Yarrowia lipolytica: one gene and its partners. The protein of the gene in region 1 purifies or fractionates together with the protein of each later gene. This does not show direct contact. Links are inferred from orthologs where the notes say so. Each region holds a gene or a part of one and is shown on either strand. Other genes may lie near its edges.

Region 1 (8,304 bases):
TGGTATACATAGTGGAAAGCAGAGGCTCTCCAGTTCATGACTGGTGTTGTGCTACAGTATGTACTAGGCATACATATCAAACTAGTACCTCACGTGATATGAGCACTGTGTATTGAATAAATACCCCACACACTCGGACTCATCACCCATGCCCGGCTTCCCCTGGTGTGTGGATATGCTGTCAGTTCACGTAGCTTACCTCGCGTGACTGACTAACAGGATACTTGGTGCCTTTGGCAGTGCCGTTGATTACCAGCTGTCTACGGTCTGGAAGTAGCGACAGTACCGCAAGCCTTGCATGTTCGCTTTTCAATGTCACCGTCAAAATCAAGAATGGCCTCCTTAATCTGGGTGCCGAGATCGACGAGCTGGAACGAGTTCTCAAACACAATCTCTCGGCACTTTTCGTTAGGACAGTACCATCGCAGAGCGTCCTTCATGCCCTCGGGACGGTCCTGTTCAACCACAACACCAATGGTGTCGGCATATCGAACGGGGTTGTGGGGCACGTTGGCGGGGAGCAGGAAGATATCGCCCTCGTTGATAGTGATATCTCTGAACTCTCCATCGTCCACCACCTTGAGAGTCATGTGGCCCTTCTTCTGGTGGAACCATTCAGGGGTCTGGTTGATGTGGTAGTCAGTTCGAGCATTAGGTCCTCCAACGATCTGTGTTAGTTGATTGGGCAATGGCAAATCACAATAGTTGTGAATCATCTTCCCCAGCTGGATCATTGACTCATGTCATAAATCACTCACCATAACAGTGTAGCCTCCTCGCTGGATACAAAAGTTGTTAACCGGAGGCTTCAGCAGGTGCTGGTTCTCCTCGAGCCACTTGGGCAGATTGATTGGTTCCTGGAGCATGGGTGACGAGTGGTGAGATGTACTGGAAAAGAAGAGCTCACGCCATATTCTATATGCCATGTATGTGGGGCGAATAAACTCAGACAATCATGTGGGGGTGGAGGGAGTATATCTTAGTGTTGAGGAGATGATTGAGAAACTGGACTATGTAGATGGGATTTTCTTGCCTGAAATATTCATTTGACGGTTTCAAAATAAAAAATGGACCCCTTCTCGCCCCAAAATCAGCTTTCGGAGTTATGTTAATCTCCGTAAGCATGCAGGATTCATATGCACTTAATCAGTAGAGACCCTTGATTATGTTAACCAAGTCTGCGGTAGACCAGCAGGTGGGCAGACAAGAGTTGGATTTGTTAATGAGGTTTTAGAAGGTGCGGCAAAGTAGTGATAGCCACTGGCTGACACTTGTGAGCTAAAGTGGCCATGTATGGGGTCAGATACACAGCCACTGTATCAAGTGTTACAGTACACGATGTTCTGGTAGCTGTCTATTCCAAAACACCTCCACACCTTCAAAGCTCTTCAATTGTGCGCTCTCATTTTAGCAATCGAATTGGTATGAGCTTTGGGCGCAGTTTATACGCTTTTGCGATGCTTTCGGTTTCTCTGGTCATGTAATCTGGTTGGATATGATGCAAAGAACGGCAACATGTACAGTATTCACCGATCCAAATCAAACACATCAGGATAACCACACCAGTTAGCTTATGTAATCATGATCCCAACAGAATCCCCAGCAGGGGTGCTTTGAGGCACAAGTCGACAAGTTGTCTTAAGATTACAAGAATATAAGTATCTCGATCCAGTCAAATCAGTCAAATCAGTTTAATCTCATTCTACCAACCCATTCAACTACACCACCGCCGCTCACGTCCCATCCACTCGTACCCACCTGCAAATCGAACTCGCGCCACCTCCCAATAACCTTCTTTAGGCTTCTCACAACCACATCCACATACAAGTAGACGTCATTGGAATTGCCACTGATCTCTTTACCACCCGACATCGATCTCAATCATGGCTGCCAAGGACGTGACTAATAAGCCGAGCGACAAGTCGGCTGAGAAGACCGTCGACAAGACCGCCCCCAACGACAAGAACAAAAAACCAGCCCGAAAGGATGAAGAGGAGCTGTCTGAGGAGGACGAGAAGCTCAAGTCGGAGCTGGAGATGCTGGTTGAGCGTCTGACCGAGAAGGACGAGTCTCTGTACGAGCCCTCGCTCGAGGCTCTCAAAAACTTCATTCGAACCTCGACCTCGTCCATGACCGCTGTGCCCAAGCCTCTCAAGTTTCTGCGGCCCCACTACCCCCAGCTTGCTGAGCTCTACGACACCTGGACCGATGCCAAACACAAGCAGCAGCTCGCAGACGTGCTTTCCGTCCTCGCAATGACCTACTCCGGCGACGGCAAGCGAGATGCACTCAAATTCCGACTCAAGTCGACCACCGACGATCTGGGATCTTGGGGACACGAGTATGTTCGCCACCTTGCTCTGGAAATCGGCCAGGAGTATCAATTGCAGCAGGTTGAGACCAGCGACGATGCCAAGGAGGGCGTAACTCTGGACACCCCCAATTCTGGTGTTGGATCGCTCACCGACGTACGAAACCTGGGCATCAAGCTGGTACCCTTTTTCCTCAAACACAACGCCGAAGCCGACGCCGTGGACTTGTTGCTGGAGATTGAGGCCGTCGAGCATCTACCTAAATTCGTTGACGAAACCACATACGCCCGTGTTTGCCATTACATGGTCGCCTGTGTGCCCCTGCTGGCACCCCCAGATGACGTGGCCTTCCTACACACCGCTTATGCTATCTACCTGGCCCACCGCCAGCTGACCCAGGCTCTGGCCCTGGCGATCCGTCTGGATGACATGGAGCTCATTAAATCGGTTATGGATGCTGCCAGTGGCGACGATTTGCTGCAGAAGCAGCTGGCGTTCATTCTAGCTCGACAAAAGTGCTACTTTGATGTGGCTGACGAGGGCGTACAGGAGTGCATGTCCAACGCCCTGCTGGCTGACCACTTCCGATACCTCACTAAGGAGCTCAACCTGCTGGAGCCAAAGGTTCCAGAAGACATCTACAAGAGCCACCTGGAGAACTCAAGAGACATCATCATGTCGGGGGCCTTTGACTCTGCCAAGCAGAACCTGGCTGCGTCGTTCGTCAATGCCTTTGTCAATTGTGCTTACTCGGCAGACCGTCTGCTGACCAATGGAGGTGCTGAGGATGATGGAGACGCTACTGCTGGAGGAGCATCTGGTGCCTGGATCTACAAGACCAAGCTCGCTGGAATGTACTCCACCACAGCCTCTCTGGGATCTCTGTTCCAGTGGGATCTCAGTCGAGGTCTGCAGCAACTCGACAAGTACGCCTACTCTTCCGAGCCCCAGATCAAGGCTGGAGCTCTTCTGGGTATGGGTATTGTCACTGCTGGTGTCTACGACGAGACAGACGCTGCTGTCGCTCTTCTTGCCGACCACATCACCGAGGAGCCCTCAGCTGAGAACAACAACGGCAACGCATACAACTTGAACCAGCTTTCTGCTGTGATGGGTCTGGGTGTTGCATACGCCGGATCTCGACGGACAGATCTTCTGGATATGCTCCTGCCTTTGGTTCAGGACACTGACACCTCCATGAAGACCTCTGCCATGGCTGCTCTTGCTCTGGGACACATCTTCGTCGGCTCTGCTAACGGAGACGTCGTTTCTGCTCTGTTGGGATCTCTGCTTGAGCGAGATGCCATCCAGCTGTCTGACAAGTGGGCCCGATTCATGGCTCTGGGTCTTGCTCTTTTGTTTATTGGCAAGTACGAGGAGATTGAGGAGGCAGTTGAGACTGTTCGAGCCATTGACCATCCTCTGGGCCGAATCTGCGAGACTCTCATCACTGTGTGTGCCTACGCCGGTACTGGTAACGTTCTGCAGATCCAGAAGTTGCTGCATGACTGTGTTGGAGAGAATGTTACTGAGGGAGAGGCTGACGGAGAAGGCGATGGTGAAGGTGAGGGTGCTGAGGGTGCTGTTGCTACCGCTGAGGGTGCTGAGGGTGCTGCGGATGCTGCTGACGCCATTGACGCTACCGCCGAAGCCGTCGCCGCCGAAGGAGAGGCTGCTGCTGATGCTACACAGGAGGTGGACTCGGAAGAGGCCTCTTCTCACCAGGCATACTCTGTTCTTGGTCTGGCCATTGTTGCAATGGGTGAGGAAATTGGCCAGGAGATGGTTCTCCGACACTTTGGTCATCTCATGCACTACGGCGATGCCCAGGTGAAGCGAGCTGTTCCTCTTGCCATGGGTCTGGTGTCTGCTTCCAACGCACAGATGCGTGTGTTTGACACCTTGTCGCGATACTCACATGACGCCGATATGGAGGTTGCTCTGAATTCCATCTTCTCCATGGGTCTGGTGGGAGCGGGAACTAACAACGCCCGTCTGGCCCAGCTGCTCCGACAGCTCGCCTCCTACTACTCTAAGGATCCCGACGGACTTTTCACCGTCCGAATCGCCCAGGGTCTGCTCTATCTGGGTAAGGGTACTCTTACTGTGTCTCCTTTCCATACCGATCGACAGATTCTGTCCAAGGTGTCTCTGGCATCGCTGGTTACCCTTCTGGTGACCATGATCGACCCCAAGTCGTTCATCCTAGCCGACAACCACTGGATGCTCTTCTGGCTCACTAACGCCATTCGTCCCCGCATGCTCATCACTCTGGACGAGAAGCTGGAGCCTATCAAGGTGCCCGTGCGAGTCGGACAGGCTGTGGATACAGTCGGTCAGGCCGGAAAGCCCAAGACCATCACCGGCTGGGTCACTCATAGCACTCCCGTGTTGCTGAGTCATGGCGAGCGAGCCGAGCTGGAGGACGACGAGTACATTCCTCTGGCCTCGTCTCTGGAGGGCGTTGTCATTCTCAAGAAGAACCCCGACAGAATGGATGAGAGCAGTTAGCATACTCTGATAGGTATGGAATGAATAAATGGAAATGAATAGTAGGATACAGCAATAAATGGCAGGAGCGTAGTAACGGATGTACAGCCGCGATTTGATCTATTCTAAAGTCAGTAATAGTTATTCAGATTCTATAGCGTAGCTACAGTACAAGTGACAGTACGACGATACTCTGAACTGTAGGTAATTTCAGATGATTATTCTATACATACATTCGTACCGTAGTAGTTTCGTGGTTCATCATAATCCATCGCTGACCACAGACAATAACAGGTTCGCTCACATCGTCTATTTGTTCTGTGTGATCGACTCCTCCATCTCCGCAACCAACTTCTTTCGGTCGTCCACTCTCTCCTTCTCCTCGATAGCCTTACCCTCCCATCTGCTCCAGATGAGCTGTTCACAAGAGTTGATGCTGGCTCTGGCCTTCTCAAAAACTGCAACAGAGAAGTCGCTGCAGAGAGCGTCCCAGGTCTTTTGCAGCTTGAAACATCCCCAGACAATACCAAAGGCTGCGATAGAGCCCATGTTGTAAAGAGAAAGGTCGTAGAGGTATACTCCAAGAGCAGGAATGATGACTGTAGGAAGCTGGATGCCGAGTACAACCTTCAGGAACTCGTGGTAAGCTCTCGAGTGCAGCTCAGACACCAGAGTGTCATCCAACTCCTCCAGCGTCTGGCCAATCACGTCGTCTGAGGGGCTGTCCCAATGTTCGACGGGAGAAAGTCCGTAGATGCCGTCGGTGAGAGGCTCGGGAGAGTTAGGAGTGGTGCAGGCAAAGCCGTCGATTCGGCCAAGCAGGTAGCACATGGATTGTCTTGAAGCAGGCAAGAATGCGTATTCGAGAGAATCTCGGGTGATTCCATCAACGTCGTCAATTCGCCAGTACAGCTTGTACCAGGGCAGTTCCGATTGTCGCCACTTGAGCAGCTGTTGTTTTAGCACCGTCTGGAGTTCCCGGTGGGCGTTTCGGGACCATTCTGACCGCAGAGTCTTGATAGTGTCCGCCTCGCCCTTCATAAGAGACTCCTTGGACACGTCAGAGGCACACAAATCCCGGCAGGTCTGGTAAATGCTGTATCGAAGAGCACGGTCGTGGTTGGCGGACATTCGCTTCATTGCTCGAGATAATTGCTCAAAATTGGACTTCTGCCACAGCTTGAGGTACTTGGGGGAGTTGGAAGGAGACTTTCTGAGCAGAGAAACGGCCTCAAAGGCCTCTTCGGAGTTGACTGTAAGTGTGGCACTGACAATAGCCACGAAGTCGTCCTCAGCCAGGTCTCGCAGGTTCACGGAGGGCCATGCCTTGAGACCCTCTCCTTCTCCGACATAGATGATCCAATGGCAATCTCGAATGTTATCGAGAGAATCCGCGAATGAAGTGGCCTCCATAATGTCCACATCTACCTCCTTTAGGAATGGCGAGGGCAAGCTCATGTCCCATCGCGAGTTTTGTGTGCCGTGGCCGGTGTATTTGCCAGGACTCAGAACGATATCCTTGGACGCAATTCTAGCCAGAAAAGCGTCGTACCACCTTTGGTCGGATGCCAGTGGGTCTGCCAGTAGAGCATTGAGAATGTTAGCGTCCTTGCGCTTCTTGACAGTCATATCTTGGGGACCCAGAGGCACAATACCGATTCTGGTTCTACCGACGGAATCAGCCAGAGAAACTCGGGCATGGAGAGAGTCCCGATCGGGAAATAGACCACGCACCTGACTGATGAGCTTGTTGGGGATTCGGGGCTCCATGGACACTTTTCCATCTACTTTGGCGGTTTCAGACGGTTCCAGTTTCACGTCATTTTCCGTACTGGTGGGACGGTTGAACAGATCGATTTCGGTGGTGCCGTAGACAGAGCCAGTGAGCACATGTGAGTCACGTGTTCCGGCGGTCGTGTACCGTCTCAGACCAACGCTGTGACGTCCTATTTGTCGTAGCATGGTGGTGAAATGGATGGTCATCTGCAACCTGTAACTTTGTGCTCTAATATTGCCTGTTGATGGATGCAATTGGTTATTTGGGCAGTCACGAAGAAGCTGTAAATGGGGAGTTGAGAATTTGGGGGCTTAATGGGTGTCTTACCTGGTGGTAATTAATTGATTCTTCGGGTTTTATTTCAAGTCTGACCGTCATTACCGAGTATTGATGGGATGTTTTTGCGTATTGTTTTCTAAACAAACTCCACAACTATAAGCTGCCTTACCTCAGTAATCCTAACTAAATTCATGAAAAGTGCAACTCAACTCCCATCTTGTTAATTCACGTCTCTGGGCTACAGTTGGAGACATAATTTTAAGTCATGTTAGCTATTTAGAACATCTATATGGTTCTTTTTGTTGTGACAGATACCGCACCGGTGCTGTCTAGTTCTCAGTTCTTCTGGAATGCCACCAGACGATGAAACCCATGGAGAATGCAATAAAGGCGATAAACGAACACGACGAAAACACGTAGGCAAGAGCGTGCTTGTAGACGTTTCGGATATCAATCTGAATCTCGGGAGCTAGGTGGTTAATAAATTCAACGTTCTTTCGGACCTTGAGTTGCAGCTCGGGGTCGGAAATGATTCCTGGAAGCTCAGAACGGAGACGCGATTGCAGAATGTGTGCAACTCCGTTGACTCCAAGCACCGATCCAAGTGATCTGAAGAGGTAGATGACTCCAATGGAAGAGGCTGAGTCAGCAGCTCCTGTTTGGCAACACAGTCCGATGAGTGTTGACACGAGAATTAGGCCCTGAGCAAGACCCTGGAAGGCAAGATTAACGGCCATGACGAGCTCCAGGGAAATTCCGTGGCTCTTGAGCACATTGGCCAAGGGAGTAGCCTCGTGGGGAGTTGAAGAGTTGATCAGCCGGGATAGAACGAAACAGGAGATTCCCACAGTAGTCAGACCGGCAAGAAAGACTCGAGGATATCGTTCCTTGGTGTTCTTCTTGAGAAGCTGGCCTGTGATAACGGATCCAGAGGATACTCCAATGGATAGAGGAATGAGTCGTACACCTGCTTGGGCAGCACTCTCCAGAAATACAACCTGGAGAAAGACAGGAGTGTAGTAGATAACTGAGAACTGAGTGATGGTTGTGAAAAAGACTGATGTAGTCAGCAAAGTGGGCTTCAGGTGTCCAAACACAGCCTTGGTCATGATAGGTTCAGGTGCAATCTTGATCTCGACGTACAAAAACACGGCCAGGAAAATGGCACTGGCCAGAGACATCATCTGGAGAGTTCCACTGTTGGAGAGTGTTCGAGTGTCGGTCTGCATGTTGATGACCAGCAACAGGAGGGTCAGGAAACAGACGATAGAGATGGATCCAAAGACATCAATTCGTTCCAGAGTAGATGCGTTAGAAACCTTTAGTTTCTTTGGTTTGATGTTAACGTACCGGAACACTAAGAAGGAAGAAAGAACCACAAAAGGAACCTGCAATGAAAACATGTATCTCCAGCCCAAGTGGTCAGCAATAAGTCCTCCTACAGGA
Region 2 (6,736 bases), on another chromosome or scaffold:
AGGTGGAGCCGGTGAAGGAGCCCAAGGTGGTGCAAACAAGCGCCGCTCCCACTCCGCCACCCCCGCCGACCCCGCCGGTCGTCTCCACGGCGTCCCCAGGCCCCGAATCACACTCAGCCACTTCGCTGACATGTCCGATTTGCGAGGAGACAATGTTGACGCTGATGCAACTGAATCGGCACATTGACGACGTACACGGTGATGGCAAGGTAAAGGGCAAGACACGGGCGTCCAGCGAGAAACCACACACGAAACCGCGACCCACCGACGAAATGGTGACCAGACGGCACTGGAAGCACCCCGGACCGGGCCAAACATGCCACTATCCGGACTGCAAACGCAAGCTGGGAGCCAGGAACGGCTCAAGGCACTGCCGACATTGTGGAAACATCTTCTGCCACGGCCACAGTCGCTACAGAATGAAGTTGAGCCGAGATGCTCACCACCAACCAAAGGGCGGTATCTGGTGTTGGGTGTGCAAGACTTGCTACACGGGCAGAGAAGGGTACAATGACACGACAGGTACTGAAAGAGATCTGACGCAAGAGTTCAAGAAAAAACGCCAGGCGAAAATCGACATCCAGGAGCTGTCCGTCAATAAGCTGGAAAACAGACTGAGACGACTTGCGGAGGAAAGCATAGAGAACGAGAGCTCGGGACCCTGGTGGAAACCCAAGGCGGCTGTCACAGCCTCAGTACCATGGCAGGAAGACTCAACACAGCCCAATTGTCCGGAATGCCAGGTCAAATTCACCTTTCTGATCCGCCCTCATCATTGCAGGGTGTGCGGAAAGGTGGTGTGTGGACAGACATCCACACAATGTTCTCTTCCTGTTGGTGTGAACATTTTAATCAACAGTCTCGATATGAAAGAGGAGTTCAGCGACACCATTCCAACAGATTGCGAACCCATACGGATCTGCATGACTTGCAAGAATACAGTCTTTGGTAGACGTAACTTTCAGCGGGATGTCAACTCCGATCCCAGCGAGCTGCTTAAGCTGTACAACACCATGACCCATCTGACCACTTCCATCGAAAACATGATGCCTCGGTTCCAAAAGGAGCTTGAGGAGACGATTGCGTCCAAAAAGATGGCCGGTATGCATCCCAAGGACATTTTGGCAGCGTCCAAGCTGCGTAAGCGTCTTCTCGATACCTTTTCGCAGCTAGATTCGGCTGCTAGAAGAGTAGGAGCACTGGAGGGACTGTCTCCTACAGAAGAGCGAATACAGCAACAGATATACACAGCTGCGGTGTCATTTCTACAAGAGAAGATGCTGCCCTTGAAAACGCTTCCCAAGGTGCTGGGTAGTGAAGCTACAGCCCCCGAGCCAGCTAAACCCCGTCCTCCTGCCAACTACAAGGCACTTCAGCAACAGCTGGTGGTCATGGAGGAACAGAGGTTTATGGTGGAGAACATGATGCTGGAGGCCAAGCAGAGGCGAAAGTACGACGAACTGGGGCCTTTAGAGATGTCTGTGAAGGATCTCGATAAAGAGATTGAAATTCTGAGGAAGAGGCTAGGAGATGAAGCATTTGTTTAATCTCAGTTTAGAGCAGCACCACGAAGGAATATTTGTACTCATAGAAAGTGCTAGCGACCCTATGGCATGATACTGTATGTATCAGAACAGTAATGAATAATGAATGATGACAATTATGTATATTACTTGTGGCGGATTCGGTGACTGTAGATAATTGTACAAGATACAACTATACTTGAACATCACATACGAGTGCGGAACATTTCAGAACGTGAAAATGTTCTGTGATTCTAGATCAAGTCTGTAATTACTCCATACTCTATCCAACATACATTAGCTATACTTGTCCTTCTAAGACCGATCGAAGAGCCCATCATCATCATCGTAGTCGTCTCCTCCGCTGACGGACCAATCGTCCGAGTCGCCCATTTCGCTGTCATCGTCATCATCGTCATCTTCGTCATGGTCGTCAGTGTATTCGTCGGACTCCATCAAACCCTCCAAGGACAGCTGTAGCATGGTTTCGTTCTTGGCCACCTTGCCAGCCTCCACCTTGTATCCTCCTTCAACATTGCAGCCTGTGAGTTTGGCCTTGGTACCGACTGTGGTCTTAGTTCCGACCAGACAGTTCTCCAGAGTAACGTCATCGGCAATGAAAGCGCCGTCAAAGATGACACAGCCGTTGATTCGACATCGTTTGCCGATGGTGCAGTTGTTTCCAACCACAGATCGCTTTATACTGGTTCGCTCGCCCAGCTGGGTCTCTTCGCCGACCAGAGAGTCGACACCAACAGTGGCAGCTCCCTTAACAGCTGGAGCGGGCTTCTGGGCAGTGGCGTTGGCCTTGGCTCTTGCCTTCAGAATCACTCGGTTCATTTCCATGTATGCAGACAGGTTGTTTGCTCGTGCAAAGGTATTGGAGTCCAGAACGCACAGAGACACAGACTTGAGCGGCTTCGCATGTGCCCACGACCGTCGGGCAATGTCTCGAACCACTCGGTCCCACTGTCGGCCTTTGGCCAGAATGGTGTGTGCCTCCTCCTGTTCTTGTCTGACAGGCGACGAAGATCGGGTGTCGGGATCTTCGTCTGTGGAATCCTCCTCAGGGGCAGCCTGAGTCTCGGTGATGACTCTACACACGTCGGCAGTGCAGAAGTAGACGGACGCATTGAGCAGCTGTGTGGAGACCAAAGACTTAGGGAAGTGCCACAGCATGGATCGGCGGATGGGCATGGTCTTCTTGTTCTCAATGTAGTCACGCGAATACGAGTCCAGCAGCCGCGGGGTTCGCGAGTCCAGCGATGAGTGCACCGTCACGTCCTTGAGCAATGACTTCTTGTCCACGTTCTCCAGGGTATTGGGGTAGTAGAAGGCTGTGAGAAGCGAGTCCGAGTCTCGGCTTCGGTAGGTGTCGACCAGCGAGCTGGCGGGAATGTCTGTGATAAAATCGCAGCAAACCACAATGAAATCAGAGGGTTCCCCTCGAGTCAGCTCCAGAATGAAGTCTCCAGACTTCGCATCGGTCTTGGAACAGATAGTCACGTTGGAAGCCACAACTGAGGTGGAGTGCTCAGCCTTGAAAGAGTCCACGTAGGCGGAAATCTCCGCCTCGTCAGCTGTAGAACAGCACACAAACACCTTGGGGTTGGGGATGGTCTCACACCATTTGAGGGTGTAGTCGATCACAGGCACGTTGGCCATGGGAAGAAGGGCCTTGGGCACTCCAGACGCTCTCACGGACGAGAGAGGTGCCATGTTTTTGCCCTGGCCGCACAGAATGAACACTTTGAAGTCGGCTCCCATTGTAGCAGAGGAGATTTAGCACAGAGTGGTGGTGGTGTGTGCTTTATGTGATCTTTTATGTGCTTCTTTTCAATGCTAATAAATTTCACTGCACATGGAGCTTGCATCGGAGTTTATTTGACGGGGATGGCGGTGTCTGTAACAAGATGTGGAGATATCCTATCGATAAGATAATGATGGAAGCAGATTGTCTGAGAAATTACAAGAAGAATGCACTTTTCAGATTATATGTGGGATCTATATTGGTAGAGTTGGATAGACCTATATTCAAAGTCATTCTGAAGTAAAATGAAAGATAGTTCAACTGTTGGGTGAAGTAATGTGACAATTTGGTTAAGTTACTTATACGCTTATGTAATCAATAATTAGATGTACACCTCTTTCTCCTCAATGGGGTTTCTCACTTTATTTATGGATTTGTCATTGTGTCTATATTACAGCACATCAACTACGGGTACCTCTACTAGATCTGTGGTTGCATAACCACCAAGAGCGAATGGGTCCACCCATACCCATCCAGACTCTGTTACCTCACGTAATCCTGTGGAAGGTGTCAGAATACGAGGTTTTAGAGTAGTTGTGGAGTAATGGGGATATTGAGAGCAATAAGTGAGGAATATAAAAGCGATTGATGATCATTTATTCCCCGATATTCTGTCTATATTTGTCATTACTGTACTCTCACCTTCACTCACCTCGCCACCATACGCCACTCTTCTACCAAACACTAATATTGGGAGGTGCATCACCACTTCACATATTAGAACCTCAACGCTCCAGTTACTACATCAGTACAACACACCACAACACACACAACATGGAAAACGACCCGCTGCTCGCAGCTCTCAACCAGGAGGCGCCCGAGGTGGCTGCCACACCCACAGATCCCGAGCGGGAAAAGGCGATCGAGTCGTTCAAGAGAAAACTCAAGGAGCATCGAGAGTACGAGGTCAAGCTCAAGGACTTGCGACTGGGCATCAGAGACCTCGAGCGCAAATTCGACAAGACCGAGGACGACATCAAGGCGCTACAGTCGGTAGGCCAGCTGATTGGCGAGGTTCTTAAGCAGCTGGATGAGGAGCGGTTCATCGTCAAAGCCTCCAACGGCCCCCGATACATTGTGGGCTGTCGGTCCAGCATCAAGAAGGAGAAGCTGCTGCAGGGTGTGCGTGTGTCTCTGGATATGACCACTCTGACTATCATGCGAATTCTTCCCCGAGAGGTCGATCCTCTTGTCTACAACATGACCACGTTTGAGCCTGGAGAGCTGACCTTCTCCGGTATCGGTGGCCTCAACGAGCAGATCCGTGAACTCAGAGAGGTCATTGAGCTGCCTCTGAAGAACCCCGAGCTGTTTTTGCGAGTCGGAATCAAGCCTCCCAAGGGTGTGCTTCTGTACGGCCCTCCCGGAACAGGAAAGACCCTGCTGGCCAAGGCCGTGGCCGCCACTATTGGCGCAAACTTCATCTTCTCGCCCGCCTCAGCTATCGTCGACAAGTACATTGGAGAGTCTGCCCGTCTGATTCGAGAAATGTTCGGATACGCCAAGGAACACGAGCCCTGTATCATCTTCATGGACGAGGTGGACGCCATTGGAGGACGTCGATTTTCCGAGGGAACCTCCTCCGACCGAGAAATCCAGCGAACGCTCATGGAGCTGCTGAACCAGATGGATGGTTTCGACTATCTCGGAAAGACCAAGGTCATCATGGCCACCAACCGGCCCGATACTCTGGACCCCGCCCTGCTGCGAGCAGGCCGTCTGGACCGAAAGATCGAGATCCCACTGCCCAACGAGGCCGGCCGTCTGGAGGTGTTTAAGATCCACGCTGCTGGCGTTCAGAAGCAGGGCGAAATCGATTACGAGGCCCTGGTCAAGATGAGCGACGGTTTCAACGGAGCAGATATCCGAAACGTGGTCACCGAGGCTGGCTTCTTTGCCATCCGAGACGATCGGGACTACATTGTTCAGAACGATCTGCTCAAGGCCTGCAGAAAGGTGTCCGAGAACAAGAAGCTGGAGGGTAAGCTCGAGTACGAGAAGTTGTAGTAGACTAGTTAAGCATTTAATCGCAAGTGAGAGTGTAGTTTGCCTGTAGTGCCAAAGCACTATTATGTTTCAGCTGTGGCATATGATGTATACTGATAATGAGTTTATCACGATGTTGCCATGTTCAGCTACGTTGTCAACTATTACACTCCATCGAGATCGTACTGAGAGAAAACGACCTGGTTGCTACTTGTATCATGAGCATGCTTTCGTTATAATGTCATCAATTTCCATATGAATGTCCTTCGTTATCTATGGCCACTTGTCTCTTAAGAGATCATCTCCATCACCCTATAATCATCATCCTCCACCTCCTCTGGAATACCGTGAATCGTGGCTTTGTGGAAATCCTCATCCAGTCTTCTCTTGGCCTTTGCAAACTTGTTCCCAAAGTTCTCTCCATCCACCACAATGTCCCCCTTGATGAGTTTCTCCTGTGAGACCATCCAGGCGTCAAGACTTGGGACTTTCAGATCCGGGATCGTTCTGAATGGCACAAAAAAGCCAGTCCTGAACGAGTTGAAGTGTGTGCGGTTCTTGAGCCGGGGAGAAGACAGATCTGTCGTCATAACATGGACATGGACATGATTCATGCTGGGCACCGAGTGGATGCCTGACTGGATCTTCACGTCCTTGGAGTATCCCTTTGTACGAATGAACTCGACAGCAACCATTTTCTCAACTTTTTCCACCATGGCACGAGTTTTTTCGTACAGGTTGTCGTCTTCAAACGCCTTTAGAGGATGGGTATCGGGCTTGACAGCCTTGGGTAACACCAGGTAATGGATATGTGATTTCGGGAACGCATCTTTGATCACGACAAAGTCTGGTGTGTCGAGAGTCACATCGTTGGGGAATTTTTCAGGACTCTTTATGTACTGACCTAGTGCGTATTTCCATGACATGTTTGAGAGTGATGCCGTATGTATCAGACTGTGTGAGACGTACTTTTATACACTCCAACGCATTGGGAGCAGGAGCAGGAGGTAGAAAAAGACGATGGCGAAGAACAATCAAAACGACGCAATGCGAGTATTTCGAGACAGTTTTTGAGATGGATCGACAAAGTATGGCATTGTGATCTCATTACTTAGTTTTACTTACCATTGCTTCCCCCTGGTAGTGGAATTAGCAGGATCTTTCTAGCAGGTAAAATGCTTACAAAAGCTAGGATCTTACTTGATCGTTTACTTGACCTAATACTTGGCTCTACCTCTACCATTTAAGAACCAAACAAAAAGAAAGAAGAGAAAAATCGAATAACATGGCGGGCCTCCCATCCCCAGAACTAAACGCCTGTCTACTCCACGACATTTGCCGTTACTGAACCACCATCTCATCAGACAACATTGCTCCACCTACAAGTAGCCCACTTTTCAGTCAAGTGCGGCTACAG
Region 3 (10,518 bases), on another chromosome or scaffold:
CTATCTGTGAATGCCGTATGTCGTTTCGTGGTCAAGTTCACGCAATTCCATCCTGGTCGTTCGCCTTGTCGTCTTTTTGTGTCGCTGTCGAATACTCACTTTTTGCTTATATTTTCCTCTGTGGTGTCAAGAGAGAAAGATTCTACAGGGACAAAATTTTCGGTATCAAAATGGAGAGCCAGTTGGGAGGTTGCACACGTGATTTCCCGATTGGGAAAAGACAGTCCCGACTCAAGTCAGAATTGAGTCTGTCACGTGCTGGGAGGTTAGGAAGTGGAAACTTTAATTCGAAATCCAAGAGGGTCATAATCTGTCAATAAAAATATCGGCAGGAAAATAGAGGGATCTATAAAAATAAGTGACTAATAAAATAATGTCTATGAGCTGTCTTAAGATACAATTGATTATATCCGAATATAGAAAACGCAGCGTTATCATATTTTAAAGTTTATATGAACTTTATATATGAACTTTATATATTCAATGAAGGTGACCTCGCTAGGAATCGAACACATAAGCACCCAAGTTGAGGCTGCTGAGACGAGGTTAGGGGAGGCTCGAAACAGACAGAAATAAATATTATACCAAACATACATGGAAAGTCTTATCGAGAGTCATTTGTTTTCGAATCACCACCACAATGTCCTTCCAAAACAAACGAGGAGCTCTCAATCAAATCACCAAGGACGACTTTGAGGGCGGCGAAGGATACAGTCGAGACGAGCCCGTGGAGGAGGCTCGAACAGCTGACGCCGCTACAATGTCCAAGAGAAAGGTCTTGCCCTTGCCCAAGAGACGAGGCAACGGAAGCAGTGGATCTACTCCTAAGGCTTCCAATGGCTTTTCTGGACTGTCCAGCTTCGGTTCTGGAGCTTCTCCTGCGCCCCAGATGTCGTTCTCTTCTCCTAGCACTACCGGGGGGTTTACCAATACCAACACTACCAACAATGATTCAACATCAGATACTACATTGAAGCGTATTGCAATGAACGAGAAGTTCGTGGACACTATTTTCGCCAAGGTACGGGAGAATGCCGCAGTTGATTTGTCTGATGTCGTGAGCAAGTATCTCGAGTACTCTAAGACACTTGGAGGTGACCATGCAAACGTTGCTAACAGCACTACCAGCACCACCAGCACAATTTCTGCGCCTGTTACTACAGCCACACCGACTCCTGCTTCTGCCGACAAGCCCAAATCGTCGCTTTTCTCGTTTGGAGCTACTAAGAACTTTTCCGCTGCCAACACAGACACTGAGAAAAAGGACACTACCTCCACCAGCACTTTTACATCATCACCCTCCTTCAACTTTGGAGCTGGGGCAGCCGCAAAGCCCGCAGTGTCGAAACCATTCTCTTTCGGTACATCTAGTGATACCAAGGAGGATAAGCCTGCTGTAACTACTCCCTCTTTTGGTTTCCCTAAGGCTGACACTACTAAGGAGACAGACGCCAAGGACACCACCACTGCTGCCAAGCCCTTTACATTTGGATCTTCTACTCCTTCTGGACCTTCTTTCAGTTTTAACAAGTCTGGAGCTGATGTTGCCAAAGAGAAGACTGCTCCTTCTTTTTCGTTCACAGCTAAGAAGCCCGAAGAAAAGAAGGAAGAGAAGAAGCCTGAGCCCGTTTCTGTGGACTCCGATTCCGACTCTGACGACGATGCCATTGACATCACCAAGGGCCCCAGTTTTACTTTAGCTGCACCTCCCACTACCACAAACTCTGCTTTCTCTTTCAGCAAGCCTCAGAGCGAGGTGAAGAGCACAGGTCCTTCGTTCACCTTTGATAAGAAGGTTTCCAGCGGTCCTTTCAATTTCAAGTCCGAGACCAAGACTGAGGAGAAGAAGGAGGATAAGCCGGAGGAGAAGAAGGAAGACAAGTCCGAAAACAAGAAGGACTTCACCTGGAATCCCTCTCAGGGAGTTGTTTTCGGCAGCAACAAGACCGAAGAGTCTGCCGACAAACCCGCATTTTCGTTTGGAAGTACTTCTTCGGCAAAGCCTTTTACTTTTGGCGCTAAGGCTGATGATGCTGAAGACAAGCCCAAGCCTGCTTTCTCGTTTGGATCTAAGTCCGCCGAGTCATCTGACAAGCCTGCCTTCTCATTCGGAGCCAAGCCCGCTGAGTCAGCCTCTTCGGACAAGCCTTCTTTCTCTTTCGGCACCCCTGCATTTGGTGCTAAGACTGAGTCTTCCTCTGACAAGCCTGCATTCGGTGTTTCTTCCGGTAACCTGTTCAAGGGTGATACCAAGGGGGAGACTAAGCCTGCTGCTGCTTCTTCCACCGAGTCCGGTGAACCAGATGACACCCCCAAGACCGTCACAGACTCGGATGACCTGTCAGGACAAGGACCAGGTGAGGAGAACGAAGACAATGTCGCCGAGTACCGAACCAAGCTGTACAAGCTGGATGACGGAAAGTGGGACGTGTGTGGAGTGGGTCAGCTGAGAGTGCTGGTGGACAAGGACACAAAGAAGGCCCGAATTTTGATGCGAGCAGAACAGAGTGGACGAGTGCTTCTCAACTGTGTGGTTCGAAAGGAGTTGACGTACTCGACGACAAAGTCGAACGTGAACATTGTCGATTTCGACGCGGACTCGAAGCCAATCAAGTACATGGCCCGAATTAAGACTGCTCCTGAAGCTGAGCAGTTGTCAGCTAAGATTGAGGAGGTGAAGTAAGGAGAGGGGTTGACATGAGGTGATGTAATTGAATACGTTGTAACATATCCCATGATTAGTAAATGCATGGAGGAGGGTATAGAGGGTGCTCGTGGCATACAACTGGGACCGGCACAAATAGGTGTGTCCATTCTGTATATATCTTAGTGTTTACAACATCCATTACACTTTAGTGCCCTCTCTCACTCTCTGCAAGGAGATAAGGAGTAAATCCAAGGGGGATCGTATGGAATTTCGACGAGTATCGTGATTTTCCTTCGAGTCAACAAAAATCCCAACTAAATTTAAGTGTTGTTAACAACCTAAGTAATAGATCTTCTACAGGCCACACTCAGTTCCACAATAGCAAGAGAAGAACAAGCCATTATACTCGAACAAGAATGATAGCGATTGAATCCAATGCTACTGTACGTACTGTACTCCGATAACTTCAGCCTGTCATTCTTCCATCAAATTCTTCACTACATACAACGCCAATTCATATGTTACATCCAAACTAATGGCACAACGTCGTCATACTTATAGGCGAACATAATCACATCATACTTTTAGAGAGAAGAGAACAAAATAGAAAGGCAACATGGGGATATTATGACATCAATCAACTCCTCCAGAGGAGCTGATCAAGACTATATAATTTTGATCCCTCTATTCTCTCTACAAATCCCTCTACACTCCCCCCCCTTTTTCTTCCCCTCATGTATGATCTCAACGGCAATACCATAACATAATAGCTGAGGTTACAACCAGTACGTAGCAGCTAACACCGCGACGATATAAGAGGCCACAGACACCCGAAATGAATGTTTTTTTTTTTTGCACCCCTTCAGTAACAGCACGTGCCCACACGACACCTCACGTGACCCATTTGCACCCCCTTGCACCTCGCCACCGCCACCATGCAGTCCAACCTAGATCTGCTATCGCCGATAATCTCTCTCCACTACAACCACCTCAGCATGGACGAAACACAAGAATTGCAGCTGGTCAACGCGGTGGATCTGCGGATCACAATGGCCAAAGAGGACAAACTGGGCGAGACGATCGGCGTCTATCTGGTGCCTCTGTTGACCAAGCTGGCGTCCAAAAACGTGTCAGTGCGACAAAAGGTGGTTGAAATGTGCCAGCATATCAACACGCGAATCAAGAACACGACATTCAAGTTGCCTGTCGACGCCTTGGTCAAACAGTTTGTCGAGAGTGACAGTGAACTTATCAGAAATTTCGATCTCATGTACATTGAAATGGGTATTGCCAGAATGGGTGATGATGTGAGTATTGTGGGGCGATAACTCCTTCAAAGGGTTAACAACCCGCTGCTATTTATGGGCTACAGACAGTTTGCGGACCCCATAATGATACAGACAGGTGGTGGTTCCACAACTCAATTGTGTGCCACACTGACATCAATGTCTGATCTGATATATGATACGATGGTGAAACAACAGATGTCTAGTTTAAATGTGATCTTGAAGATCCATGAAATCTAACGGAATGAATGCGTTAAAGCTAGGGTTTCCTAATACTATCCAAGCAACATGGCTTTCAGACCATGTCACTATCTGCAGCTATGATCTTTAGCAACACTTCCAGATACAACCTGCTCTTGTCTTTCATCCTCTACGGCCACTCATTACCGTTACTAACCCAGAAATCTACCCTCATCATTCCCCTTATCTCCTCAATTTCCACCCTCTCCTACAACCACTCCAAAGCGGTCTTCCGCATCCTACTTAAACTCCTCCCCTTCATGACCTACCCTCCCCGAGGATCCACTGAAGCAGACAAGTTTCGTGAAACCCTTGACGTCAACGACAACGACATTGCGTACCTCGCTCTTCGCTTCACAGACGTGTTCAATTTCTCTGCCACCAAGAGAACCGGAATGACCATCAGAGAATACGAGTTTCTGTCAGCCGAAGAATGCACCACTGCCGTCAAGAGTCACCTGCTCAAATTCATTAGTGCGTTGTTTACAGACACAGAGTCGTACATTCCTCTGTTGTGTGCGTCTACAGACGGCAGTTCAGCCATTGGAGAGCCAGCTAACGACGCCTGGAAGAAACTCCAGGTAGATTTGGAGTCCGAGATGCTTACTAACCAGCTCTATCAGCTTCTCCTCGGGTACAATGGATCTTCCCCTGTGAAGCAAACGACTCAGGCAAAGATTCTCGCGGCTCTGTGTCATTCGGTGCATGCTGCCAACGTCGATGACGCCTTCAGAGCCATCCAGTACTTCACCCAGACTGATTTCTACTCTCGAGCTGCAATCATCCAGTTTGTTAATTGGATTGTGAAGCATTCCAATGAAGAGCTGTTTTTGCGCCACTCTGGAGACCTTCTCGAGCGTGTTACTCACCTTGGAAACGATGCCAAGACCGCCGAGTCAGCACAGGAGCTCATGGGCGGTATCCTGCGTCGAGACTCTCGTCTGCTGAGTAACATTTCTCACGTGACGTTCCTATTTGACCGGAAAGCAGGTGACTCTTTGTCAGAGCTCATCAATCCGCTGGCAAAGTACCCCGAGACAGCTGAGAAACTGATTCCCCACCTGTCTCGGTACATCAGCCACCAGGCGACTCAATTTATGGCTGCTAAGTACGCAACTCGAGTCTTCCCCTATTCAAGCGCTCATGCGCGCTTCCTTTGTCTTGTTGGCCTTACTTTTGGCCGGACAGACATGCTTGAGGAGTGTAATCGGGGACTGAACCCTTACTGGATGCGAGCTGTTAATGTTCCATACATCACCAGCCATGATTCGCTCGACGTGATCAAGGGAACTTCGGATTCGGACATTTTCCAGTTTCCCGATGTGTTTGAGTTATGTAAACTGATCCACGAGTCGAAATTTGATCTCAAAAAGGCCGCAGAGTGGATGTTTCCCTACCTGGTTCGGTTAACTGTGGCTACAGCTATCCAGGGTCATGACACTGTTTGTGTGGTTGATGAACAGTGGGAAACACGTGTGGATGAAGCTCTGAAGAGTGATGATCACGTGAGAAAGCTCGTTATTGAGTATCTGAGCAAGACCGACATTTCTCCTATTCTAGATATCATTTCCACTCATCAGACCTTCTCCACTCTTCCTGAAGTGTCACTGGAGCTCTACTATTCCCTGGTTTCTCTGTCTACCAAGTCATACAATGTCTTTGATGCCAACAACAGCGTGGTTCAGCTTGCTCTGACCTCTCCCTACTACAAGATTCAGTCCCACGCTGCTCGTGTGATTGGCCTGGAGCAGAGCGAAGAGGTGGCTCATAATCTAATTGCTCAGTGTTTCAACCACGTGCCAAAGAACGTTGATGGACCCATTCTCGTTTTTTCCAACCTGGTTTCTTTCCTGTCTGAGTCAGACATCTCCTCCGCGCTGGAGATTTGTTCCACTCATATCGATATGGAGTCCGTTCAGACTTTCTTGAGTGAGATGAAACTGCACAGAATCTCTCTCGACAACTGGAGCCGTCTCGATGATGTCAAAAAGAAGACTCTGGTCAAGCCCACCGAGCATTCTGTGCTTGCATTTGCTTATCTCAACTTGGACAGTCCTGATTTTGAGTCCAATGTTGATAAGATCTTTGCCATTGAGTCAAAGCAGATGGATTTTGCCTTCTTCACCGGTGAGGCACTTTGTGTGCTTGCTGCTGGGTGGGAGACTAAGTTCGTCAAGCGAAAGATGTGGAAGATTGCAGATAAGCTGCCTGTGAGTTCCCTGGCAGAGGAGCGAGTGAGCCAGCTGACTACCAGACTGATCAACATGGCAAAGACGGTGACCAAGCCTTCTCTGCGGAAGAGTACCGCCATATGGCTTCTTTCTGTGGTCCAGTACTGTGGTCATATGATCCATGCCCTTCTTCCTCAGTTGCAGCTTGCTTTCATGCGATTTTTGCCTGAAAAAGACGACATTGTCCAGGAGGCTGCTTCCCGAGGATTGTCTCTTGTTTTCGAGCAGGGAGACTCTCGATTGCAGAAGGATCTGGTTGAGAATCTTGTCTCCTCATTCGTCACCGATAAGTCGTCTCACAACCAAAAGGTGCATCAAGAAACCGAACTTTTCGAGCCTGGAGTTCTCAATACCAACGACGGATCGATTTCCACTTACAAGGATATTCTTTCGCTTGCTTCTGAAGTCGGAGATCCCTCTCTCGTGTACCGATTCATGTCTCTGGCTAATCACGCGTCTCTCTGGTCCTCCAGAAAGGGCATTGCGTTTGGTCTGGGTAACATCTTTGCCAAGGCTTCGCTCGAACAGCAGCTGGCCGACAACCCTGCTCTTGGAAACACTCTCATTCCCAAATTGTACCGGTACAAGTTTGATCCTAGTACTGGACAAGTCATGGCCAACATTTGGAAGATGTTGATTGGCGAGTCTTCCACTAAGACGGTGAATTCCCATTTCGAGAGCATCCTCAAGGAGCTGCTCTCTTCCATTTCTTCCAAGGAGTGGCGAGTTCGACAGGCTTCTTCGGCTGCTCTTTTGGACCTACTTCAGGGTAGACCCATCTCTCAGTATCTCGATCATTTGTCCGAAATATGGACAGCTTGTTTCCGAGTCGTTGACGATATCAAAGAGAGTGTTAGAACTGCCGGTCTTGGTCTCACACGTGGCCTGACTACTGCTCTTGTTCGGTCTCTGGAAAGTGACTCCATTTCAGACGCTACTGCAAAGCAGGTGCTGGACCAGATTATTCCTTTCCTGCTCGGAAACTCCGGTCTGCAATCGTCAGCTGAAGAGGTCCAGCATTTCTCTCTGGATGTGTTGCTTCAGCTGATCAAGAAGGGCGGTTCTAGACTGAAGCCTTTTATTCCAGATCTTCTCTCCGAGTTTGTAGAGTTGTTATCCACCCTCGAACCGCAGGCAATGAACTACATTGCTCTAAACGCCGACAAATATGGAACGACTGCCAACGACATTGACTCGTCGCGCCTGGCTGCTGTGCGTCACTCCCCCATGATGGACTCCATTGAGGAGATTATCGACCTCTGTGACGCCGATCTGATGAAGAAGATTGTTCCTAAGCTGACTCTGTCAATAAGAAAATCGGTTGGGTTGCCCTCCAAGGTTGCTGGTTCGCGAATCATTGTTACCTTGACTATTAGAAAGACCCAGCTGTTCAAACCCTACGCTGGTCCACTTCTCGTCAAGTCAGCCATTCCCAGCATTTACGATCGAAACGAGACTGTGTCCAGATCGTACCTTGCTGCCTGTGGCTACCTGTGTCGTTTGGCGGACGACGAATCCGTTCTGAGCTACATTACTGAGTTGCAGAACCTGTACTTTGGAGAAATCCAAAAAGGTACTCTTGAACGAGCTCGAATCTCAGCTGCTATTGGAGTGAAGGAGATCGCTGCTCATGCCGCTGACAAGTTTGACTCGTTGTCAGCCTCCTTGTTGCCCCTCATATTTGTAGGCAAACACGATTCAGATCCTGCTGTCCAGGATGTGTTTACCAACATTTGGAATAACAACACTGGAGGCAAAGGGGCCATTTCTCTGCACATTAAGGAGATTATCGCTCTGGTTTCGCCCCATTTGTCTTCTCAGCAGTGGAACATCAAACAGATTGCTGCTACTTCCATTGCAGATGCTTGCAATTCTGTGGGTAAAAACGTTCTGAATGATGAGCTCTTCGAGGTGATGATCTCTGCTTGCCAGGGTAAGAGCTGGACTGGGAAAGAGGCTGTGTTTGACGCTCTTGTCTCTCTGGCCATCAAGTTCAACCTCCACGATGCCGTTGTTGATAAGGTGGTGACCACTGAAATCAAGCGAAAGAACCGAGAGTACCAGATTCTTGCGCTCAAGTCTGCGTCTAGGTATCTCGGCCACTTCCCATCGAAGCAGCTGTTTGATATTTTCTCTGACATTTGTTCTCTTTACCTCCTCTCCAAGTCGGACTTAGAAGACGTGGATATGGATTCTGATGATGAGGAGGAGCTCCTTAAATCCCAGAGTGAGGACAGAAGAAACGCCATTCTGGGCACTGCTATCAGAGCTCTGTCGATTGAGAGCACCGACGAGGACGTTTCTTTCCTGTCATCCTACTTTTCTCAGGTTTCCGAGTGGATCCAGCTTGCTTTGACTCCTCCCAAGAATCTGAACAAGCTGGCCACTAAGAAGTCTGTAGATCCTACATGGAAGACAAAGTTGTGTATTTCGCAGGCTCTGTATTCCGTTGTTATTGGTTTCTTCGGCCAGGAGAAGCCTGCTGGGTTTGAGAAGCAGTTCCTGGAGATTTGGACCCTGGTTGCTGATACTTGTTTGCTGACTACTAATTTGGACAAAACCAAGGTGGAGGTGTGTAAACTTGGGCAGGCTGTTTTGAACTCGAAGATGAGTGATGCAAGTAAGGAGAAGGTGAGAGAGGTGCTGGTATTGGCGGAGGAGCATGAGCAGTCGTTGATTGTCAAGGCTGAGCTCGGGAGAGTTCTGAAGAGCATCTGAACGAGGAAATCCGACCCTGTTGGTGATGTCAAATTAAATTGATTGCATCAGATGTATTATGATTAGATAGAATAAATTGATTAGATGTATTTTTCATTATTTTGTAATTACATAATACTGTATATTGTATGTATTCCACCTATTCGTTTAGTTAGTATTTAGTTGACATTTAATTAATTCTAATTAGTTAAGGTTACAATTATGGTGGGGATTTAGTTGGGATGATGGTTGAGATGAGGGAAGCAGAATGGTCTGCTCTAGACAGCCTCCCTCGCCGCTAGAACTGACATATAGATTTCTGGTGCATTATGTAACCGATAGAGAAATTCCAGGTTCTCCTCCATGTCTTCAATGCTCAACCACACTTAGTTTGCCACTCCGCGGTCATGCCGAGGTATGTTAAATGTTACATGAGTATGTCCGCTGTGTAAAGGGTAAAGGGTATAACCCCGCTGTTCTGTCCTACTGCATTCTCAACATGTTTCCCAACAGTTCCTTGGTATCCACTCTTGACCCGGTCTATGACTATTGTAGCTAGTGTGAGATAAAGGACTAGCCCTGTCTATTAGTTCCTACTAATGGCTATTCCGAGCTTACTGCATGTACTGTAGTAGAAATATAGGTCAAGTGCGAATGACGTAATTTTCGTTAGTGACACTGAATTTGATCATCAGAGTGTTTTCTGTCATTATCATTTCAGCGTGGCAAATTCATCTACATCTACCATTTCTCCCCCTATTTAATCCATTTTATACCGCAAAAATGCGTGCCCTAGCTTTTATCAACGCATCTACCCCACCTTATCACGTGGCGCACGAGGTGCATAATCGTGCAGAGCAAAGATGACGTCAACCGAGGGGGATGAGTGAGTAACGTGGGGCAGGGCATGTGGACGTGGACAGGGAGACATGTGACCAGCCCCCTGAATACGGAGGGGTTGTGTGTGTGTGGCGTGACTTTATGAGCAATTATGTCTCCCCACGTGATCCAGAACACGTGACCGGAGCGCCGTGGCTGCCTTTTCGTCCCGTTGTGGCGGTATTTAGTTCAATCTCTGATTGCTTTCTGGTATGGACATTTCCCGGGAGCTAATAAAGTAAGGGTCATTTGATGTCATCTTTGCGTGTCCCTTTTAGGCACTCTTTGGCCGTGCAAATGTTGTTAAATGGGAACCATGATTGGTGCTTATTTCCCGCAGTCATGTGGCAAACGGCGGTCCAAGGGCGGGCCACAGAGGGGTGTTGGCGTGGCTGGAGGCATTTGTGCGGACAATGTTATATATAGAGGGTTTCTCCCTCCCCATTTTCTCTATCCGGTCTATATTTTTATCCCTCATACCTCAATCATTGCGGTGTGATTGTTTTGGTCTTCCCCAGCTATCTTAAAGTTAAATGCG
Region 4 (6,414 bases), about 450 kb from region 1:
ACACGAGCCAAAAATGCGTGGAAGAAGGGCACAGGCAGGGCAAAAAGTGAATTTTGGGCAAAGAGAAAAAAGGCGGACAACTAAGGATTGAGGGTCGAGTTTCTGGAAAAGGAAAATACGACGGGAAAAAATAATTAATAAATAAAAAATGAAAAAATAACCAAATGAACGGCGAATCTCGTCAACGGGACAATACAATACAATACAGTATGTACAGCACTAGTGCAGCCTCATGTCTGGGCATTGCATGTCATTACAGACAAAGCAATCGACAGAGAGCTGGAAATAGGATGTAAAAATGGGCTAAAAATGGGCTAAAAATGGGCTAAAATGGATTAAATGGGTTAAATGGGCTAAAAATTGCGTTAGTATAGGTTCGTTGGGTGTGATACTGTAGGGTAACTGAGTTGGATGAAGAAAAATAAATGAATGAAAAACATGAATAAAAAAGTGAATTAAAAAAATGAATTAAAAAAGTTAAATAAAAAGTAATAAAGTTGAATAAAAAAGTGAATAAAAAAGTAAAAAAAAAAAAGTAAATAAAAAGTGAAATAAAAAAGTGAATAAAAAACATGAATAAAAGAAAAAGGTGTATAAAAAATGAATAAAAAACATTGTTAACGTACAACTCTACAACGATGACACTGGTACAGAGAGAAGTTGCTCAATTTTTTGTGGAATATCACCTGTAAAGACCAGATCTGGAACAATTCCGTAGAGGAATGTTCTCTGAGGTTTCATGTCGACTCCTTTTTTCAAGTATATTACTTATCTTGGCGGTACATTACTTAGATTATGGCAGCACAAACACTGTATTAGAACAGCAGCTATTGTAGCAGCTATTATTGCACTAATATCAATCTGATACTAACATCAATCTGATAAAACTCGAGGTGCGTCACGTGACTCTTCTAGCTCTGATGACGCCATGTTCCTCCGTCCACCCTCCGTACGTATGTACTCCTCCTTGGCATGTTTTGCAGCATTTTGACTGCTCGCCAAAGAATGATGAATAATCAACTGCTACAGAACAGAGACGACGGATGGAGGGGAAAAAATTGAACAAAAGAAAGGGGAAAAAAAGGGAAAAAAAAGAAAAAAGACGCACGCAGGGTTATTTGAGTGTCACGTGATAGTAATCAAAACGTATTAATAATCAAACGAACTCATTGTCCATAATCCAACCTTGCTTGCTAATCAATCTCTGGACCTTCCTCCCCAGCCATGTTCATCTCCATGTGGCTGTTTTTCCATGTTGGTTCACGCCACGTACGTATTTTGCTTGTTTCTATTTAATAGAGTTTCGAGGGCAGTTTCGGGTGAAATTCGTCTGATTTGACATGTTATGGTGGATATATCGTCTTCAAATTTATATCATGAGATAATCTGGGTTGTTCAAATTGCCAGACCGAAAATCACGTCTTTTGGAACACTTTTAAATCTCCAAAATGGCTTCATTAATTCGAATCGGTCCAACTTTATTTTCCAAAACTGGAACCGGTTGAAATTTGATTGATCTGGGGTAGCAGAAGGAGTGGAGATAACTACTGTACTAATATCGCATAAATAGAAGATGCAATTGATTTTATTTCATTTGTGTTATTCATCTACCTCTTATTAATCACAATCACATGACCTACCCACGTGACAATCGAGACCCTGTCATGCTGCTGCTGAAGTTGTAGGAAGTTGTAGGAAGAGGCAGTGCATACGCGACAGTTTTTTGTACCTGCAATTTTAGTTATTTTAGCGGGGTGTGGGATATATCACGTGTACCATTTTGACGCCAGCGTAATGTGGTGGAGTGACACATAACTTGTCGTGCCTGGAATCGCGTCTCGTGAATATATAAACCCGCGCTCTCCCTAATCTCTTTTCACCGCCCTCCCAGACCCACTCCTCACCACTCTCTCTGTCTCTGTCAGACGCAATAAAGTTGAGCTCGAGTGACGTGGGATGCACCTCTTGGTCTCAACTCCATCTACTGACACAGAACCCTACAGCACGCCATGGTAGACGATAAATACATTGGACTGGCGCTGGCCATCTCGTCGTCGCTGGCCATTGGCACGTCGTTCATCATCACCAAGAAGGGTCTCATGGATGCCTCCTCCCGACACTCGGCCGACGCCGGCGACTCGTTTGCCTATCTGAAAAACCCCATCTGGTGGGCCGGCATGATCACCATGGCGGTCGGCGAGATAGCCAACTTCGCGGCCTACACGTTTGCGCCGGCGATTCTTGTCACGCCGCTGGGCGCGCTTTCCGTCATCATTGGAGCTGTTCTGGCGTCGTTTTTCCTCAAGGAAAAACTCGGCATTCTGGGCTCTCTGGGCTGCGCCATCTGCCTGATCGGCTCGGTCATCATCGTGCTCCATGCGCCAGCCGACAAGGACGTTCAGACCGTCGACGAGATTCTCAACTACGCCGTGCAGCCCGGGTTTCTCATGTATATTTGCGCCGTGGCCGCGTTCGCCGGATTCATGATCTACAAGGTGGCCCCACGACTGGGACGAGTCAACCCCATGATCTACATTTCCATCTGCTCATCGGTGGGCTCCATCTCGGTCATGAGTATAAAGGCGTTTGGAATCGCCCTCAAGCTGTCGCTGGGCGGCAACAACCAGTTCACCCACCCATCCACCTACGTGTTCCTCATCGTCGTGGCGGTGTGCATCGTCACCCAGATGAACTACTTCAACAAGGCCCTCGACCAATTTGACACCAACATTGTCAACCCTCTGTACTACGTCACTTTCACCACCTGCACTCTGGCGGCTTCGTTCATTCTGTTCCAGGGGTTCAACACCAGCTCCGCCGTCGACGTGATTTCGCTCATTTGTGGCTTTCTCATCATCTTCACCGGAGTCTATTTGTTGAATATCTCCAAGACGGACCCCGATGGATCCAACCTCATGCCCGGCCGGGCTCTGGATGGCATTCCCATGGACAATGGCGTGGCGTCGCTGCAGACCCGACGGTCGGCCCAGTTTGCCCGAAACTCGCTGCATCGACGGTCCGATTCGCTCAGACAGCATGAGGTGCGGCTCGTCAACGACTACGACGAGGAGCAGTCGCTGGGCATGACGCGGCTGGATGATCTGGACGACGAGGACGACGGCTTTGATATTTCCGACGAGAGGGAGTTGTTGAGACGGCACTAGTCAGGCGCCGTGGACAACAACGTGGTGGTAGTCAGCCCGCCAGCCAGCCGGGCACAAACGCACATACTCTTGTGTTCTGGCGACGGGGCATAAAAACGGATTCTTTCCCCCATTTATTCATATAACATTAGGATCTCGGGCTGAAACAAATTTGGATCTCGGCTGGAACAATTTGGACCCAGGACCAAGGACCCAGGACCCAGGACCTCATTGGGCTGAACGCCCTCATTTATATATATATTTACCTGCACAGCGTAGGAGTAAGCCCTACCCTGTTTTCTCGACAGAGTTGAAATTCATGCTGTAGTATCGTAGGTATGGTACATACTCTACAGGTGACTATCATTGGTGGGGTTTTGATGGTGGTGATATCTCGAGATATCTCGTTCCGAAGACCCCCAAGTGCCACTTTTTGGTGCTTCTTTTCTAGAATATTCTCCTTTTGTTTCTTCTTGAAAATCTTACCAATTTCTGATTACCAATACTTCCACTCCTAATCTGAGTTTATGCACCCTCCTGCAACCGCCACTCATTATCGTGTTGATCTGACACAAAACGGAGCCCACACAACCGTCTAACACTTATAAAGCTCCCCACACGCCCACCGTCTCTGTCACTCACTCATTTGCCACCCCGCCACCCATTTACCGCCCATTTAACATGCAAATCTTTGTGACAACGCCATCTGAAAACGTGTTTGGACTAGAGGTCGCCGCAGATATGGCCTACGAGGACCTGCTGGCTTTTGTAGAGATGGAGGCGTCCGTGCCGTCCAAGGACATCATTCTGAGTCTCAACGGCAACCCCATTGTCGACACAGACCCCAAGGCGACGATTGGGTCTCTTGGAGTCACCGACAACTCCATGCTTCTTCTCACCACCAAACGAGTGGCTCCCAATCCCTCCACGTCCGCCCAGCCCGCCATTCCCACACTGGACTTCTCGTCAATCCAGATTCCCGGACTGCCCGCGGCTCAGCGGGTTGATCCCCGCGCCGAGCAGATCCGAACGCAGATTCTGGAGCGAGCAGACTCGCTGGATCAGCTGAAACTCAGCAACCCCGAGCTTGCCGAGCACGTGCACGACTCACAAAAGTTCTCCGACGCCTTCACCAAGCTGCAGAACGAGCTGCGGGCCAAGGAAGTCGAGCGCAAGAAGGAGCTGCAGCGGCTCTACGCCGACCCCGACAATGAAGACAACCAGAAACGAATCATGGAGATCATTCGACAGGAAAACGTGGAGGAGTCGTACCAGAACGCCATGGAACACCACCCGGAGATGTTTATTCGAACAGACATGCTGTACATCAATTGCCGTATCAACGGACACGATGTCAAGGCGTTTGTGGACACCGGAGCCCAGATGACGATTCTGTCGGAGGAGTTTTGCGAAAAGGTCGGCCTGTCGCACATGCTGGATGTCAAGTTTGCCGGTGTGGCGCGAGGAGTGGGTTCGGGCAAGATTCTGGGCCGCGTACACTCTGTGCCTCTTCAGATCGGTTCCTCGTTCTTCCCCGCCTCCGTTTCGGTCATTGAAGGCGACCAGCTCCAATTCATTCTGGGGCTCGACATGCTCAAGCGATTCAAGGCCAACGTCAACTTGCGGACCAACCAGCTGGAGATTGGGGAGGAAAAGGCCACCTTCTTGGGCGAGAAGGATCTTCCCGACGAGTTTGGCAAGCTGGGCCAGGAGAAGGAAAAGAAACAGGACCATGGGTCTGCCGGAGACGCGTTCAAGGATGAAGATATTGTCAATCTCATGTCTCTGGGTTATTCCAGGGAAAAGGTTGTGGTTGCTCTCAAGCAGACTGACGGCGATGTGGAGTTGGCTGCTTCTTTGTTGTTTTCTCAGTGAGCTCTAGGGAGCTTGTGAATGAGAGTACATATGTGGATGTATTATATTGTATTCGTATGGATTGTAAAAAATAAAAAATAAAAAAATCACCGAAAAGAGGAAAACAGAAAAAATCTAGTAAACAATAGTTAGGCTTCACTAAGCGAGATGCACGTCATTAGTTAGACTTTCATCAAGGCATACTGTATGTATATTTATTTTTACTTTCTCACTTTTTTTTTTCGTACATTTGTCATCAATAACATACCACCACCTTCAATATTATCGCTACCGACCCACAAATTAGTCAGCATAAAGAGCACATTTGAAGGAGTCCGCAACCTGAAAATCTCGTGATTTCACCTACCAATGCACCAGATCTAAAGCAAAAACAAAAATCCAAACTTTGCCTGTCCTACCATGCGGCCGACGTTAGTGAGACCTGATCTGGGGGAGATCCACGACCGATTCGAGCTGGGAATTGAAGGAGCATCCAGTTGCCCGGGCGAGCGACCGTGTCCACGACGAATGCGTGTTTTGAAACGTCTGGTATTGACGACTTATGAGCAGTTGATGGACATGAGTGACGACAACGTGACCCATTCCGACTGGGCCTGGAGCATGCGGATGGTGGTTGAGACGTGTTTACGGGAGATTATGCAACTGGGTCTGATGCGTACCATCTACGACCTGGTGTTTTCGCTCCATTGTGGCTGTATGGGGGCTCCCGTGACGCGAGGGCGCCTTGACAAGTACTCGACCAAGTATGGCAGCTACCAGACCACGTTCAAGGATGCCTATGAGATCACGTGCGACTATTTCCGGCTGTATCGACTTGATGAGAAGAAACTGAAGGCGTTTTGTGCCCAGCATGATCAGGATACCGCTCTGGAGATTGTGTTGGCAGCCATTGGGGGGGAGAAACCGCCAATGGTCGATGAGGAGGCTCGCGAGACCGTGAGGGAGATTCGAAACAGCATCTGGAAGAGCGCGAGAGAGACGTATTTCAAGCTCAAGAACGACGGGCGCGAAACGTATGATTTGGACGTTGTTTTCGACAATGAAGAGCCGCCGTTTCCAAACCACGTTTTCATGAGTTTGGCGAGCCATTTTTTCGCGGACCATGGTTGGTTGCCTGTTGGTGACAATGTGGGCATATTCAAGGACCAGAATATGACTCTTAAGGCTCGCCGAACCGCGTCTCCGGACCTGTTGGATCGTTTGGGGGTCATGTTTAACCACCATGGCATTGTTCTGCCGGCTTGGCTGTCATCTTGGACGGGTCTGCCTGAGTCTGCTCGGCGGGCCCTTCCCGAAACCATGTGGATGTCTGATTCGGGGCGATTCAGCATGGCTGTTTACAAGCCTGCGTTCGAACGGGAGAAGCTGTTGATCGACATGTTTCCTGCCGCCCGGA

What was found. The genes of interacting proteins can lie anywhere in the genome.
Region 2: the proteins of YALI1_B04321g (region 1) and YALI1_E25866g purify together in Saccharomyces cerevisiae (affinity purification with mass spectrometry; 9 studies listed by BioGRID, with this or other methods). This does not show direct contact. The link is inferred for Yarrowia lipolytica from reciprocal best matches to the Saccharomyces cerevisiae genes RPN1 and RPT4.
Region 3: the proteins of YALI1_B04321g (region 1) and YALI1_C05088g purify together in Saccharomyces cerevisiae (affinity purification with mass spectrometry; 3 studies listed by BioGRID). This does not show direct contact. The link is inferred for Yarrowia lipolytica from reciprocal best matches to the Saccharomyces cerevisiae genes RPN1 and ECM29.
Region 4: the proteins of YALI1_B04321g (region 1) and YALI1_B08801g purify together in Saccharomyces cerevisiae (affinity purification with western blotting; 3 studies listed by BioGRID). This does not show direct contact. The link is inferred for Yarrowia lipolytica from reciprocal best matches to the Saccharomyces cerevisiae genes RPN1 and DDI1.

Annotation. Positions count from the first base shown.
Region 1 is NC_090771.1:430,277-438,580, forward strand, and holds YALI1_B04321g (uncharacterized protein), read left to right. Parts: upstream 1-1,883; coding exon 1,884-4,823; downstream 4,824-8,304. Other genes in the region: YALI1_B04309g (uncharacterized protein), read right to left, coding at 261-668, 759-866; YALI1_B04370g (uncharacterized protein), read right to left, coding at 5,112-6,785; YALI1_B04391g (uncharacterized protein), read right to left, coding at 7,188-8,304.
Region 2 is NC_090774.1:2,582,665-2,589,400, forward strand, and holds YALI1_E25866g (uncharacterized protein), read left to right. Parts: upstream 1-3,921; coding exon 3,922-5,340; downstream 5,341-6,736. Other genes in the region: YALI1_E25826g (uncharacterized protein), read left to right, coding at 1-1,547; YALI1_E25859g (uncharacterized protein), read right to left, coding at 1,839-3,290; YALI1_E25889g (uncharacterized protein), read right to left, coding at 5,610-6,245. UniProt on the Saccharomyces cerevisiae protein: The 26S proteasome is involved in the ATP-dependent degradation of ubiquitinated proteins. The regulatory (or ATPase) complex confers ATP dependency and substrate specificity to the 26S complex.
Region 3 is NC_090772.1:502,709-513,226, reverse strand, and holds YALI1_C05088g (uncharacterized protein), read left to right. Parts: upstream 1-3,642; coding exon 3,643-3,954; intron 3,955-4,334; coding exon 4,335-9,122; downstream 9,123-10,518. Other genes in the region: YALI1_C05125g (uncharacterized protein), read left to right, coding at 641-2,683. UniProt on the Saccharomyces cerevisiae protein: Stabilizes the proteasome holoenzyme, probably by tethering the 20S proteolytic core particle and the 19S regulatory particle.
Region 4 is NC_090771.1:876,366-882,779, forward strand, and holds YALI1_B08801g (uncharacterized protein), read left to right. Parts: upstream 1-3,824; coding exon 3,825-5,018; downstream 5,019-6,414. Other genes in the region: YALI1_B08783g (uncharacterized protein), read left to right, coding at 2,010-3,164; YALI1_B08817g (uncharacterized protein), read left to right, coding at 5,418-6,414. UniProt on the Saccharomyces cerevisiae protein: Aspartic protease. Appears to act as negative regulator of constitutive exocytosis. May act at the level of secretory vesicle docking and fusion as a competitive inhibitor of SNARE assembly.